Linked DNA regions of Bombyx mori. The protein of the gene in region 2 binds, or shares a complex with, the protein of the main gene of each other region. Links are inferred from orthologs where the notes say so. Each region holds a gene or a part of one and is shown on either strand. Other genes may lie near its edges.

Evidence for each region.
Region 1: the proteins of GATOR2 complex protein WDR59 (region 2) and GATOR2 complex protein MIOS are in contact, whole or in part, in a cryo-EM structure (PDB 7UHY), measured with the Homo sapiens proteins. The link is inferred for Bombyx mori from reciprocal best matches to the Homo sapiens genes WDR59 and MIOS. Residues at the interface, in NP_085058.3 of Homo sapiens: Tyr871, Arg876, Glu877, Arg879, Ala880, Glu881, Leu883, Lys884, Pro889, Pro890, His893, Lys894, Gly895, Ile896, Glu897, Phe898, Gly899, Val900, Tyr901, Arg906, Glu908, Val909, Arg910, Thr912, Phe922, Gln923, Ala925, Ile926, Cys927, His928; in NP_001357005.1 of Homo sapiens: Asp705, Trp710, His711, Arg713, Ala714, Ile718, Ser721, Lys728, Pro729, Leu730, Ala731, Gln732, Val733, Phe734, Val735, Ser736, Cys737, Asn738, Phe739, Ile744, Lys780, Pro781, Leu782, Pro783, Leu787, Cys788, Leu789, Gly793, Pro795, Gln819.
Region 3: the proteins of GATOR2 complex protein WDR59 (region 2) and protein SEC13 homolog are in contact, whole or in part, in a cryo-EM structure (PDB 7UHY), measured with the Homo sapiens proteins. The link is inferred for Bombyx mori from reciprocal best matches to the Homo sapiens genes WDR59 and SEC13. Residues at the interface, in NP_085058.3 of Homo sapiens: Ala525, Tyr526, Gly527, Asp531, Ala532, Asn533, Ile534, Pro535, Phe536, Pro537, Arg538, Thr539, Ser540, Gly541, Ala542, Arg543, Phe544, Cys545, Gly546, Ala547, Tyr549, Val551, Phe553, Thr554, Arg555, Met557, Ala644, Gly645, Lys646, Val647; in NP_899195.1 of Homo sapiens: Val4, Ile5, Asn6, Thr7, Val8, Asp9, Thr10, His12, Asp14, Met15, Ile16, His17, Asp18, Ala19, Gln20, Met21, Asp22, Tyr23, Tyr24, Gly25, Leu28, Val42, Pro59, Trp61, Gln62, His67, Pro68, Tyr79, Ser105, Asn107.

What each region holds. Positions count from the first base shown.
Region 1 is NC_085114.1:15,850,642-15,854,907, reverse strand, and holds the start of GATOR2 complex protein MIOS, read left to right. Parts: upstream 1-1,466; 5' UTR 1,467-1,620; coding exon 1,621-1,741; intron 1,742-4,266. UniProt on the Homo sapiens protein: As a component of the GATOR2 complex, functions as an activator of the amino acid-sensing branch of the mTORC1 signaling pathway. The GATOR2 complex indirectly activates mTORC1 through the inhibition of the GATOR1 subcomplex.
Region 2 is NC_085110.1:13,175,512-13,179,461, reverse strand, and holds the start of GATOR2 complex protein WDR59, read right to left. Parts: upstream 2,801-3,950; 5' UTR 2,627-2,800; coding exon 2,381-2,626; intron 2,019-2,380; coding exon 1,811-2,018; intron 1,329-1,810; coding exon 750-1,328; intron 197-749; coding exon 129-196; intron 46-128; coding exon 1-45. UniProt on the Homo sapiens protein: As a component of the GATOR2 complex, functions as an activator of the amino acid-sensing branch of the mTORC1 signaling pathway. The GATOR2 complex indirectly activates mTORC1 through the inhibition of the GATOR1 subcomplex.
Region 3 is NC_085131.1:3,993,752-3,997,926, forward strand, and holds protein SEC13 homolog, read right to left. Parts: upstream 2,715-4,175; 5' UTR 1,898-2,714; coding exon 1,328-1,897; intron 939-1,327; coding exon 567-938; 3' UTR 501-566; downstream 1-500. Other genes in the region: DNA polymerase epsilon catalytic subunit 1, read left to right, coding at 1-62; uncharacterized protein LOC101741756, read left to right, coding at 2,715-2,786, 2,865-2,924, 2,994-3,167, 3,247-3,390, 3,470-3,832. UniProt on the Homo sapiens protein: Functions as a component of the nuclear pore complex (NPC) and the COPII coat. At the endoplasmic reticulum, SEC13 is involved in the biogenesis of COPII-coated vesicles.

The DNA of each region.
Region 1 (4,266 bases), on a different chromosome or scaffold from region 2:
CTTTTAATTTGACTTAGAACATCCATGGTTTTTTATTATAAATACTTCAAAGTAGTATTTAATTTCACATATAAACGCTTTTAAAAACCGAATGAGTAGAATTTTATCTATGAAGTGACTCACAAATGGAATTTCTTCATAGAGCTGAACCTTACAGCTATCGATCTAACTGTTCTATGAGTAACTGCAAACTCGCTAATAGCATCCACGGAATTATCGAACCGAAAACAGTAATACCACGTGAGAAATGCAAGACAATGCGAATAAAACTATGGGAATACGAGGCGTTGCCACAATCATAATTCACAAACAGTAGTAATGTCAGAAACAGGTGAAATACGTGTAATGTTCTTATTTAAAGCTGTTTACATCAACTGCAGTACTTACATAAATACAACAAACTGGTGCGATCTAAATTCGTTAATTTTATTGCTTCACTTTATTTATTTCAAATATTTAGTGAATAATTCACTTCACTCACTTTTAAAGCAAAACGTCATTTCATTTACCCAACTTATCCGTGGTTCAACCACAGTGCACAGACTACATATAGAAATTACACTGTTCTCTTTGGTCTCGCTATAATATTACGTCGTACGCGACGTCGGAAGAGGGGGATGGGGTTTCAAACACCTGTGCGTGCATAAGGCACAACAAAAATAACAGGTCGTTCATATAAAACAACCATGAACAGATTAAATTTAAACTGAATTTTCAATTTAGTATTGAGTAATTAGCAATTACCTACTTACAATACACACAATGATTGAACTTAACCAATTTAACCTATCACGCATCAATCGCGTCCTGGCGCTTTCAACTAATAAGTTAAGTGGGTCATAAAACTTTTGTATTTTTTTTTTGAAGTGAAAACTTCTTTAGAATCGTTGTGATTTCAAACCGGATGCAACGGAAAAAACGACAGGTAAGAGACACAAATACAAAAATGTGTAGGATGAAGCTAGCAAAGAATGAGACAGAAATATACATACTATTTAATACAGCGCCATCTGTGAGATTTTTTAATACTAACGTGTGTATAAATGCTCTTGTAGTGAATTTTAATTTAGGATTATACGTGAAATTAAAATATCAATTCACAGAGGGCGCTACCTTACAATTATTTACTAATGACAAAATATTACACATACTTAAGACGTTTAGGATAATTGTATTTTAATTTTGGAATTAATTTTGGAACCACGTTTACTCTGCTTTTCTGACGTATCATTCACAGAGAATAACCATTGAAGTAATCTCTCTGTCCAAATTTGGAAATTATTAAGTCCATTGTTTTCCAATAACCCAAGAAGCCACGCTTAGCGATGCTATGTCATTTTCCCACACTTTACCCGGTTACAGTCTTAAACTAATCAACTTCAGCTCATTTCGCTTCATGTCATTTTCCAATATAACAGATAGAAGAAAACAAAAAACTTGGCTTAAACGTCACGTTACCATGGCATAAAATCTTTAAAAATAAAAGAAGCAAAACAACTCTTATCAAAACAACTACCCCCTGATACCAAGTGTTTATGATATTTATTATCATGTTTACGTACGGAACTGTATCAAATGAGTTAAATTTTTAATTTTAAACGCAATAGTAAATGTGTAATAATGTCTAGCAGATTGGATATATTATGGTCACCGGCACATCATGACAAATTCATTGTTTGGGGCCCAGACATAACCTTGTACGAAGTGGCAAGGATAAAAGAAATCGAGAAGAAAACGACTTGTATGTATTTTAAATATAGCAACAATTTTATTATTTTAAATATAGGACACTACATATCTATAATAATAATAATAATAATGTAGTTTAGTCTTTTAAATATCTTAAAAAATATTTTTTTGAAGAAATCACTTTTAATAAAAAACACTAGACGCTTTTCTTGATAAGTACCAAAAGTCCCCAGTCAGTTTTTGACAAATTAATTGAAGTGTATCAAATTCAAATTCAAATTCAAAATCATTTATTTCAACTTAGATGTCAGTATGACACACTTGTTGAATGTCAAAATACAAATAACAATGTTAACTCTACCACCGGTTCCAAAAAAAAAGCCACAGTCCTGAGAAGAACCGGCGAAACAAACTCAGCGGGCTTTTTTTTTTGTTTTTTCTCAAATATTTTCTTTTTTTTTAAATAAATAGAAATATTCACAATAAAAGAAAAAACAAGTCAAAAAAATACAATTAAAAATAATAATAATAATAATGAAAAATGAAAAGGCCAGGAGCGAGCGCCTCATTCCCACGTAGTGCCATCTAGTAAATAATCCTTAACTTTATAATATGCCTTGTTGCACAAACGTTCCTTAACAGTTTTCTTAAATCTATGAACAGGTAGTAGTTGAACGTTTAGTGGGATCTTGTTGAAAAGCTGTACACCCAGCCCCCTAAAAGAGTTGCTTATTTTCTTAATTCGAGCCGCCGGCAACGCAAGCCTATGTTTGTTCCTAGTGTTCACATTGTGCAAATCGCAGACTCTGGGGAATTCTTCAATGTTTTTACGCACGTACAATAAATTTTCAAAAATGTATTGGGACGCTAAAGTTAGAATTTTGATTTCCTTAAACTTGTCCCTCAAGGATTCCCTCGGGTGCATATTATAAATAGCACGAATAGCCCTCTTCTGCAGGATGAAAATCGTTTCGACATCGGCAGCATTGCCCCATAGCAATATGCCATAGGACATAACACTATGAAAATAACTAAAATAAACCAGGCGTGCCGTATCTTCATTAATATACATTCGTATTTTTTTTACCGCAAACGCTGCAGAACTAAGCCTACTCGCTAACTTGCATATGTGAGGACCCCACTGCAGCTTGGAATCAACTGTTATACCAAGAAAAACTGTCGAATCCACAAGCTCCAGTGTCTCTCCACTTACAGTAATATTAGTGTCAACTTGTCTAACATTAGGTGTGGTAAATTTTATACATTTTGTTTTTTTGTTATTTAATAACAGATTATTAACACTAAACCAATGTACCACGCGCGAGATAGCATCATTCACATCGTCATAATCTTCCAAATGTCGTTTAATTTTAAACAATAATGATGTATCATCAGCGAATAATACGACCTCGTGACGGGTTTCAATAAACTTAGGTAAATCATTGATATATACAAGAAATAGGAAGGGACCCAATATGGAACCCTGAGGAACACCCATATTAAGTAAGACACCGGAAGATCTGGTTCCTTTAACGTCTACTTTTTGGATTCTTCCGGATAAATAAGATTTAATAAGTTCTAATGAAACGCCCCTAATACCATAATGGTGTAATTTCCTCAACAATGTATTATGCTCAACACAATCAAAAGCTTTAGATAAGTCGCAGAAAACCCCAAGGGCATTATGCGACTCTTCCCAAGCCTGAAAAATATTTTTAATGAGATCTACACCTGCATCAATAGTTGACCGACCTCTAGTGAATCCATATTGTTTGTTATGAAGCAGGTTATTGGAATTGAAGTGGTTCAAAAGTTGTTCCTGAATAATTTTTTCAAAAATTTTACTCAATGTAGGTAGTACTGAAATGGGCCTAAAGTTAGAGGGGTCAAAAGTACTACCAGATTTAAATAAAGGTATTATTTTACTATATTTCATTAGATCAGGAAACACACCACCATCAATACAGTCATTAAATATTGTAGCAAGGTAAGGTGCAATTATATCAATAATGGATTTTATAACATTAATTGAAATTCCCCATAAATCACCAGTTTTCTTAATATTAATGAGCTTGAAAGTATCAATTATGTCCTTTATATCAATATTTGTGAACTTAAAGTTAACACTGCATTTATCAACATGATTTTGCAGTAATGATTCGGCGACGGTAGGAGATGAAATTAAAGATTTTGTGGTAGAAGCTGGGATATCAGCAAAGTAGTGCTCAAAGGCGCTGGCCACTTCTTGATGAGAAGTTATTATTCGATTATTGATTTTTAAAGTTAATTCAGCATTGCTGTTTCTGACATTCCCAGTCTCCCTATTAATGATATTCCAAGTCATTTTAATTTTGTCAGGTGCATTTTTTATAATATTGCCTAAGTGCAATGACTTGGCCAATGTACAGACTTTTTTAAACAGCTTGGAATATTTAGAGACATACTCATGAAATGACTTATTATGATTATATGATTTTTCATGATAGAGATCGTATAATCTCTGCCTACTTTTGTGAATTCCAACAGTCGCCCATTCATTGAATGATCTTTTATTATGTAAGATCAGAGTTTTAGAAG
Region 2 (3,950 bases):
TTCATCTATTGAGGTTTTATGCGGTAGTTTATTCTGCGAAGAAATCTTGATATGGAAAATTGTGTTCAGGTAATAACATATTATTATGCTTATTTTTATATAAGTTAGAGACACTGCCTTTAACTTACCATATCTTGTCCTTTGTCACCAAAAGAAACATCATTTGTTGAACCAGCTGTAGAGGCATAGCTCACTGCTGAAAATATATAAATGTTTACCATTCTACTTTGATGATATTCGGTAAAATATCGTCTTTGCCAATTACCAGGGCATTCAGCCAAAAGAATGCCGATAACGATAATTAATTAACTTAATTACTTGAACAATATTGTAATGCAGGTACAAGTAAGTCATTTGTCTTCAAATAGCAAAAAACGGATATTAAAGCAACTGTGACATCTCTAGAAAATTGTAGACATGCCGAAACGACTGTAAAAAGCCCCATATTTTGATGTGGTACAACATGATCAGATGACATGAAGAACTACGATTGTATGAAAAGAAGTTCAAATGTAATTGATTAATATACAACCAGAGAAATTTTAAAAATCAATATATTAAGATTTACAAATATAGCAACAAAAATGGTATATATGTATAGATTAAGTCAAGAATGATCAATTATCTTTGAAAATTGTGAGTACTAACATGAAGATTGAAGTGTGGGATTGGGTAACAATACATCATATGCAACACTGCCCTTTAGTGACTAAGACAATTTCATGTATAATTAATTTAAATTGTCTTACCGTCACTATTGTTGTCTTCATCATTTTCATCATCTGGTAGATAATGGTTACACATTTTTAACAAAGATGGATGCATAGCCCAAACTCTTAAAGATTGATCTCTTCCCCATGTAACCAACTGATAATTTGATGGGGAGGTATTTGATCTCCACACCATAGTTTGAACCGTGTCTGTATGTCCCACTAGTCTATGTGTTAGAGTACCTCCAACCCATATACCAATAACTCCCGCTTGTTCAGCACGAGGCAGACCACCCCAGCCCACACCAATTGTCAACAAACCACTGCCAAATGGAGTATAAATGGCTCGCCATACTGGGAAGTTTGTCATAATTACATTCTCAGGTCTTCTTGCGTTGTTAATATCAAAGTATTTAATGCTTCCATCATGACTAGATGTAACTAGCTGATACTCATGGTGCGGGCTCCAGTCTACTCCGTGGATTTTACATAAATGTGCAGATATGTAATGTATTGGAGAGGATGGCTTTCGATAATCCCATATTTTAATATCACCGTCATGGGCTGTGGCTACTATGTGTGATGCTACTTTATTCCACTGCACTTGTGAAGCACCAGCTGAAATTTGAATACAAACATTTTGCTTATTTCTGCTGTTAACCATTCTTGTTATGGTTTACATTCTATTATTGGAATACAATTGAAAATTCAATAACGGGATATGTACTTAAGTCACCTTAACATTAATGGCAGCAAAAAAATATACGTAGAAATTACTCACGTAAGAAAAATAGTACTTAACGATTAACTTCAACGGTGAAGGAATCTGGTAATCTGGTGGTAGGACGTCTTGTGAGTGCCTATTTCTGCCGTGAAGCAGGTATGCCTTTCAGTTTGAAGGGCTGGGCAGCCGTTGTACTGTTAAAGTGAGACCTTACAACTCATGTCTCTAGGTGGGTGGCGGCATTTACGTTGTAGATGTCTATAGGCTTTGGTAACCACTTAACACCAGGTGGGCCATGAGCTCGTCCACCCATCTATGCAGTAAATAAAAAAAAAATGAACCATTAATCTATTTATGATGTGAAGTATAAACTCACCCACTGCACATAGCGACACAACAGGTTTTCGAGCATCTCTCAAATCCCACATATGAGTGAATGTATCTATGGAGCAAGTTGCTATAAGATTGTGATCTTGTCTGTGGAAGTGTGTGTCACTAACAACCCGTGTGTGGCCACGGAGTGAACATATACATGTCAAATCATTGCCATCTCTCCATTCATACACATCAACTCTCTGGTTGCTCTAAAAATAACTTACTATTTTATTTAAAATAATGTGAAAAATTAAACAAAAAGAAATAGACCTAATAATACAGAAATCAATTTTGGTAAAAATATAATATTACGGTTTGTGAGCTTTCTTAAATTAATATTTGAAGTACAATGTGTTACTCAGAAAATTGCCTTTTATTTCGGAATTTAATCAAAGGTTTAAAATCTACAACCGATGTATGGACGGAATGGAAGTTTAGGTTTTTCAAATGTTTAGTAAATTGCTTCAGTTGAGATGCTATTTCCAGATTTCACAAAACACTTAATATTCAAATCATCAAATAATTTCTTTAAATTTAGTATTGTTTTAGATTTTTTATTTAAAATACTTACTGCAATAGCACATAATTTTTGCCCGTGATACGATTGACACCACTCAGCACCGGCAGCATCATATTTACTTTGGCGAGGATATTTTTTTACCGCGTTGCCATCTTCTTCCTGATTTATTTGTTTTATGGCCAGGCACCTGCGACCTGCTAGTAGTACGTTGTTGCCCGTGTAATCCACGGTCATTGCAGTGGCCTGGAGCTCGCGATATTCCCATTTTAATATTTCAGAACTCCAGTGAACTGACATTCCGAAGAGTGACTTTATGAAATCGAAATTATCTCTATATTACCCAAGATTTTTAATATTTAACATGATGTATAGTTATTTAGTTATTTTTAATTTTCTATTTGGATATGTACATAAACTGTTCCTGAAAGACAATATTTAGAGACTATTTACAAGTTGTCATTTATTGACATTTGACATTTTTTATTTAGTGTTACTAGTTATATTTTTAAAACTGGAAAGGCAACCGTATCGTATCATAACGCCTAACTTTTATATATATTTAAAAAAAAATATTATATGAACTGAAACGCAATAAAGTTGATGTTAATAAAATTTATGATATTAAATTTGATTAGATGATATGGGATGAAATATAATCTCTGTGAAATGGTTATTTACTGAGACTTTTTCAGTGGGCTTTTGGAGGATCTCGAAAAGCTACGTCCAGCGGCTTTGTTTAATTTTCCCACATTTAATTTTGTGCACTTTCACACATACTAAACAGTTAATAAGCCATCATTATTACACATTTAAACCTGAAGAAATACTAAATAGACAAAATAAAACAATTCAACAACTTCGTTCCTCGCGTTCCCGCCACAAAGTCTAGTTTAATAATAAAAAATTTGCTTCATACTTTATGGAAAAATTAGTAATCGTAAATTTACAATTTTTACTATTCAATAAGTTCGTGCTTCACATCAATCGCAAGCAGTTTATTTTACTGCCAAACCAAATCAACAATTTATTCTTATTTCGATTCACTTTGGATTCATATTTTTATGTTTATTTTGTATTTTTTTAAATAGCTTTCACTATTAGCTCAGCATCTTAATAATAGGACTATTATAGTCTGAGGATGCAAACAAAACGTCCGTAGTATCTCCCCATATTGGCAAACAAAAAACTGCCAGGTCCTGTGATAGCTTCGAGAGTTAAAACTGCCTGCTGTAATTACGCTAGGATAGACGTGCAACCCGAAAATGAAGTACAAATGTATTTAACACTAGCTAGGATTAGACACTTTGTCTGTTTAATAAATGTCTCCTAGTGGTAATTCCAGTTCATCCTCTTAGCGTGGCCTCGGAAAATTAAGTACTCGAATCAGACTAACGCACGACAAACAGTTACCGTCGCATTAAACACGTCATTTCAGATTCTCCCAATCCACTTTCGGTGTTTGTAGGCATTCCAAGCACTGGTCACCGTTCTCGTCAAGCCTATCGAATGCGAGAAAGGGTTCGTCGTGCAACTTAACCCACAGACACGGCTCACTGAGTTTCTAGCCGAATCTTCTCAGTGGATCGTGATTCCGATGAGATGGTAGATTCAGCGGTTAAAG
Region 3 (4,175 bases), on a different chromosome or scaffold from region 2:
CCGAATATTATCAGATGCCATTATTGTTAGAACAAATTGACTTTAATCTTAAAAACATGTGATAGTTTGTATTTTAAGTATAATTTTTTTTATATATATTATGTCCCTTTGTTTTATTTCTATTGTCACAAACAATTAAGACAAGAACCCAAATATTTTTACCTATTCTAGTTATTCTGGCGACATATGGCAACATACTTTCCAAGGTGAAAAGTACATTTCTCTAATTTTTATTTCCATGTCAAGTATACATGTGAACTTTTCTCTTTAAACTAAAAATATCTCTTTAAATTCTATAAAATATACTATCAAATTGAAAATTATTGTGTACATTGACAATAGTGACTTCATCTCCTCAGCCCATGTTCAATACATACAGTAATAATAATCATAGCAATTTATTTAAAACCTGTTAGATATGTCACAACCCAATTATTGGATTATCAAATTGAATATATAGATTAAATCTGGGTTTTGATGAAGTTTATAAAAGATCAGTGTTAATGTACATATTTTATATTACTATTAGCAGATTACAAAATTAACAAATGAAATTAAAAGCAAATTCAAAGTGTGCTTCTTTCATCATTGGGTGTTTGGCCCAAACCTTTGGCAACTTCACTAATACATAACCACTGGCCATCAGTGCTCTCACGCCAAAGGCTGACTTTGTTATCTCCTCCTGATACAGCCAAGATGTTGCCAGTGAGAGACCAGCTAACACTCCATACTACATCATCAAATGTGTTTAATATTGTTGGTGTCCAAGATACATTATCATCACTAGACCATATGACAACCCTCTTGTCTTGGGAGCAGCTGGCAATCATGGAACGTTGTAATCCCAGAGAGGGTGCCCACGCTACATCTCTGACCCAATCAATGTGCAACTCTAATCTGTTCTCTTCAACCCATTGATCACCTTGCTCTCTCCAAATCTGAAAACAACAACCGGAATAACTAACTAAAAAAATTATAATTAAGAAGCATTATGATGTCATTAAATAGTAATCATTAAATACAGGGTTTATTAAGAACATATCGATAATAAAGGACAAGGTAATTTTAGGTAGATATATTAAAAAAATTCAACTAATTATTGTTGAAATATATCTATTTTCATTTAAAATTAACTAATGCATGCAATATATGATATTGTGAAAAGAAAAATTGCTGCCTTCTTTTTTTGCCTTATAAATAAATAACCCGGAATAAATCACACACATTCATCTGGCCCCAAATCAGGATTCTCTGTGGCGCAACAGTTAGGAGTGCTAACTACTGTAATACAGAGTCAGTAAACAATTAAACACAACTTGTAACATACCTTGATTAAATTATCACACCCTCCAGTAACTAATCTCTTTGGAGCATCTTTATTGGTAAGCGGATCTAAGTTCAAATCTGCAGATAAAGCTGGGCACCAACTAATAGAATTAACACCAATGGCATGTGCACCCGTTATCTTTTTTACGTCCCAATTACCAGTATCTTGTGAATATTGTATGATAGAGATTGAGCCATCTGAACTACAACAAGCGAGGATTAAGCCGTACTCAGCCGGCGCCCACGCAACAGAGTTCACAGAGCTTTCGTGTCCAGTGTATTCGTATAGTTTAGTCCACTCTCCAGACTCTTTCCATATGATAACTTTCCTGTCATAAGAGCATGACGCTAATAGGTTCCCATACTTGGGATGAGCCCAAGCTACCTGCCACACGGGGCCAAAATGACCCTTCAAATCAGCAGCCAATGTTTGTGTACCATTCTTAATGTCGTATATTTTCACTGAATTATCCGAAGAACATGTAGCTAGTTTTAGTCCGTAATAATCCAGTTCGGCGTCGTGTATCATATCTTCATGGCCGGTATCAATAGTATTCAAAACAGTGATCATTATTATATATTTTTATTAACCTACACAATACACAACGGAAAATGGGCAATCAACTGTCAAATCAGTTGACGTGGAATTTCAACAGTGCTACCAGTAAAATATTTTGTATCCATCCACACGAGCTATTTCGACATTGCAAAGACAGTCGCAGTGCGTCACCTCTAAACTTATTAGGTAAGTTTAACAATATAATAATAAAAAGTGGCAGAATTAAATTGCAGCTTCAACATACGCGACGCTACAACTGAATTATTCTTTTTATCAATTTTGTTATGGAAGCTAGAGATTTTCTTGATGATTCGAGATTATTGATCACATAGCTCCAACACAGTCTACAAAAAAGCACAAATATTTTAGTGCCAGAATGCCGCTCGTGTGTTAGAGGTCATAAATTACCTCTTTGGTATTATTTGTTAACCTTAGGTTAGCACAATCTTTGGTTAAGTTATTTATTTCTTTATTACTTTTTGCGCGTTACTTATGAAGTATCTCCCAAAAGTTTTAAGCATTTATATTTATAGCTAAACCTAAACTGTATGAAGATACTTTTATTGACATATCAAGACTAGGCCTCAAAAAAATTAAAAAATCTATGCTTTATGTAAGTAATAACCAAAGATTAAACACTGTGTCAGGTTACATTTGGTAGTTAACCAAAGATAATAAAGAGCTCTAGTAGAATCAAACAAAAATTCTGACAAGTCTGAAGCTGTTTTTTCTCTCATTCATCTAAATTCAGAATTGGATTGAAAATATTGATGAGCTAATTTACGAAAGTTTAAGAAATTATGAGAATTTCGTATCTGTAGACATCAAAATGTCTCAAAAAGAAGGAGGAATATTTTACAACATGCAATATTTATTACAACAAGATTATCGCGGGGTTAACGTATGTAGATAATTACAAGTTGATGTTGATAATAATAACTTTGTAAACGAAGCACTATCATCTGATTGTTGTTTACAGATAGCAGTATATGCTCTAGCCACCGCTGGTCTCGCCATATCTGTTCATAAGATTCGCCCTGTAAGTATTTGTTTAAAAAACCCTATATTAATAATTACATAACTATAAATAATAAAATTACTTCGATAGGTTAGCAAGTTTTCGAAAGCCAGTAAAGTTCCAGATCATTTCATCAGAAATCATGAACCTTTGAAAGGATTATATGCTGGAGTGCAACATTCACCAGTTCGTGTTCTGGTCAATCACAAAGCCCCAATATATTTACCGCTATGGCATTCCAGTAAACCTCCACTACCAGTTAAGGTAAATGTGATAAAAATATAACTTGTACGAAAATTTACCTACAAAGTAATAAAAATATTTTCTTTTTGTTTTGTTTTAGCTGTGGGGAATTGAAGTAGTTAGTGGGAATGCAGTCAATTGGCTGGAATGTGTTGCTAGGGGCCAGCAAGTGACATTAAAGCCAATCGGAAGAGATAATGATGATCTAGTTTCTACTGTATTATTGCATTTACCTCAGCCTAAGGTATATTTCAATTTAAACAAATTCAACAAAATACCTTAAATTATTAAAAATTACTCTTCAAAAATGTTTTCCATTTCAGAGTAAAGATGTTCAAACATTGGATATTGGTAAAAAATTGGTGGAGCTTGGATTTGCAAAAGCATCATTTCCTAAAGAATTAAAAAAGAATACCATTGAGTCACAAATTGCCCCTGCTCTATTATCAGCAGAAGCACAAGCAAAAAGCCTCAGAAACGGCATTTGGTCTGAGAATCTCCCACCAATTCCAGCATATATCGTTTATTGGAGAAAAGGTTCACAGCTTACTTTGGAGTTATTTGTATTGACAGCCAAGAAGTTACTGCAACTGTTAAAATTTACCACCAAAAGTGCTTTAATAGGAACAAAGAATTTAATATTAATTCCATTCAGGTCAAAACCTAAACAAGTACAAACATCATGAAATGAAAAACATTCGTATAAAGTCTAGTTCAGAAAAGAACCAAATGAGTTATTACAATTATAATTATTCGGTTTCTCTTCAAAACTAGTGATGTTCCTTCCATTTATATAGTGAAATAAATTATCTTTGTATACATTTAATGTTGGTAAATAAAAATTACTAATTCGTTACTTAAATTGGAATTTTATTGAAACAAAATAGATTTATGTAAAAAAAGCTCTTTATTCAAATTAAATAGTGTACATTTTATATTACATTAAAATATATATATATAATATATAATCTTAATTTAAAAAGTAGCAAAAGATAAAGTACAGCTAAAATAATCTATTGAAATAATATC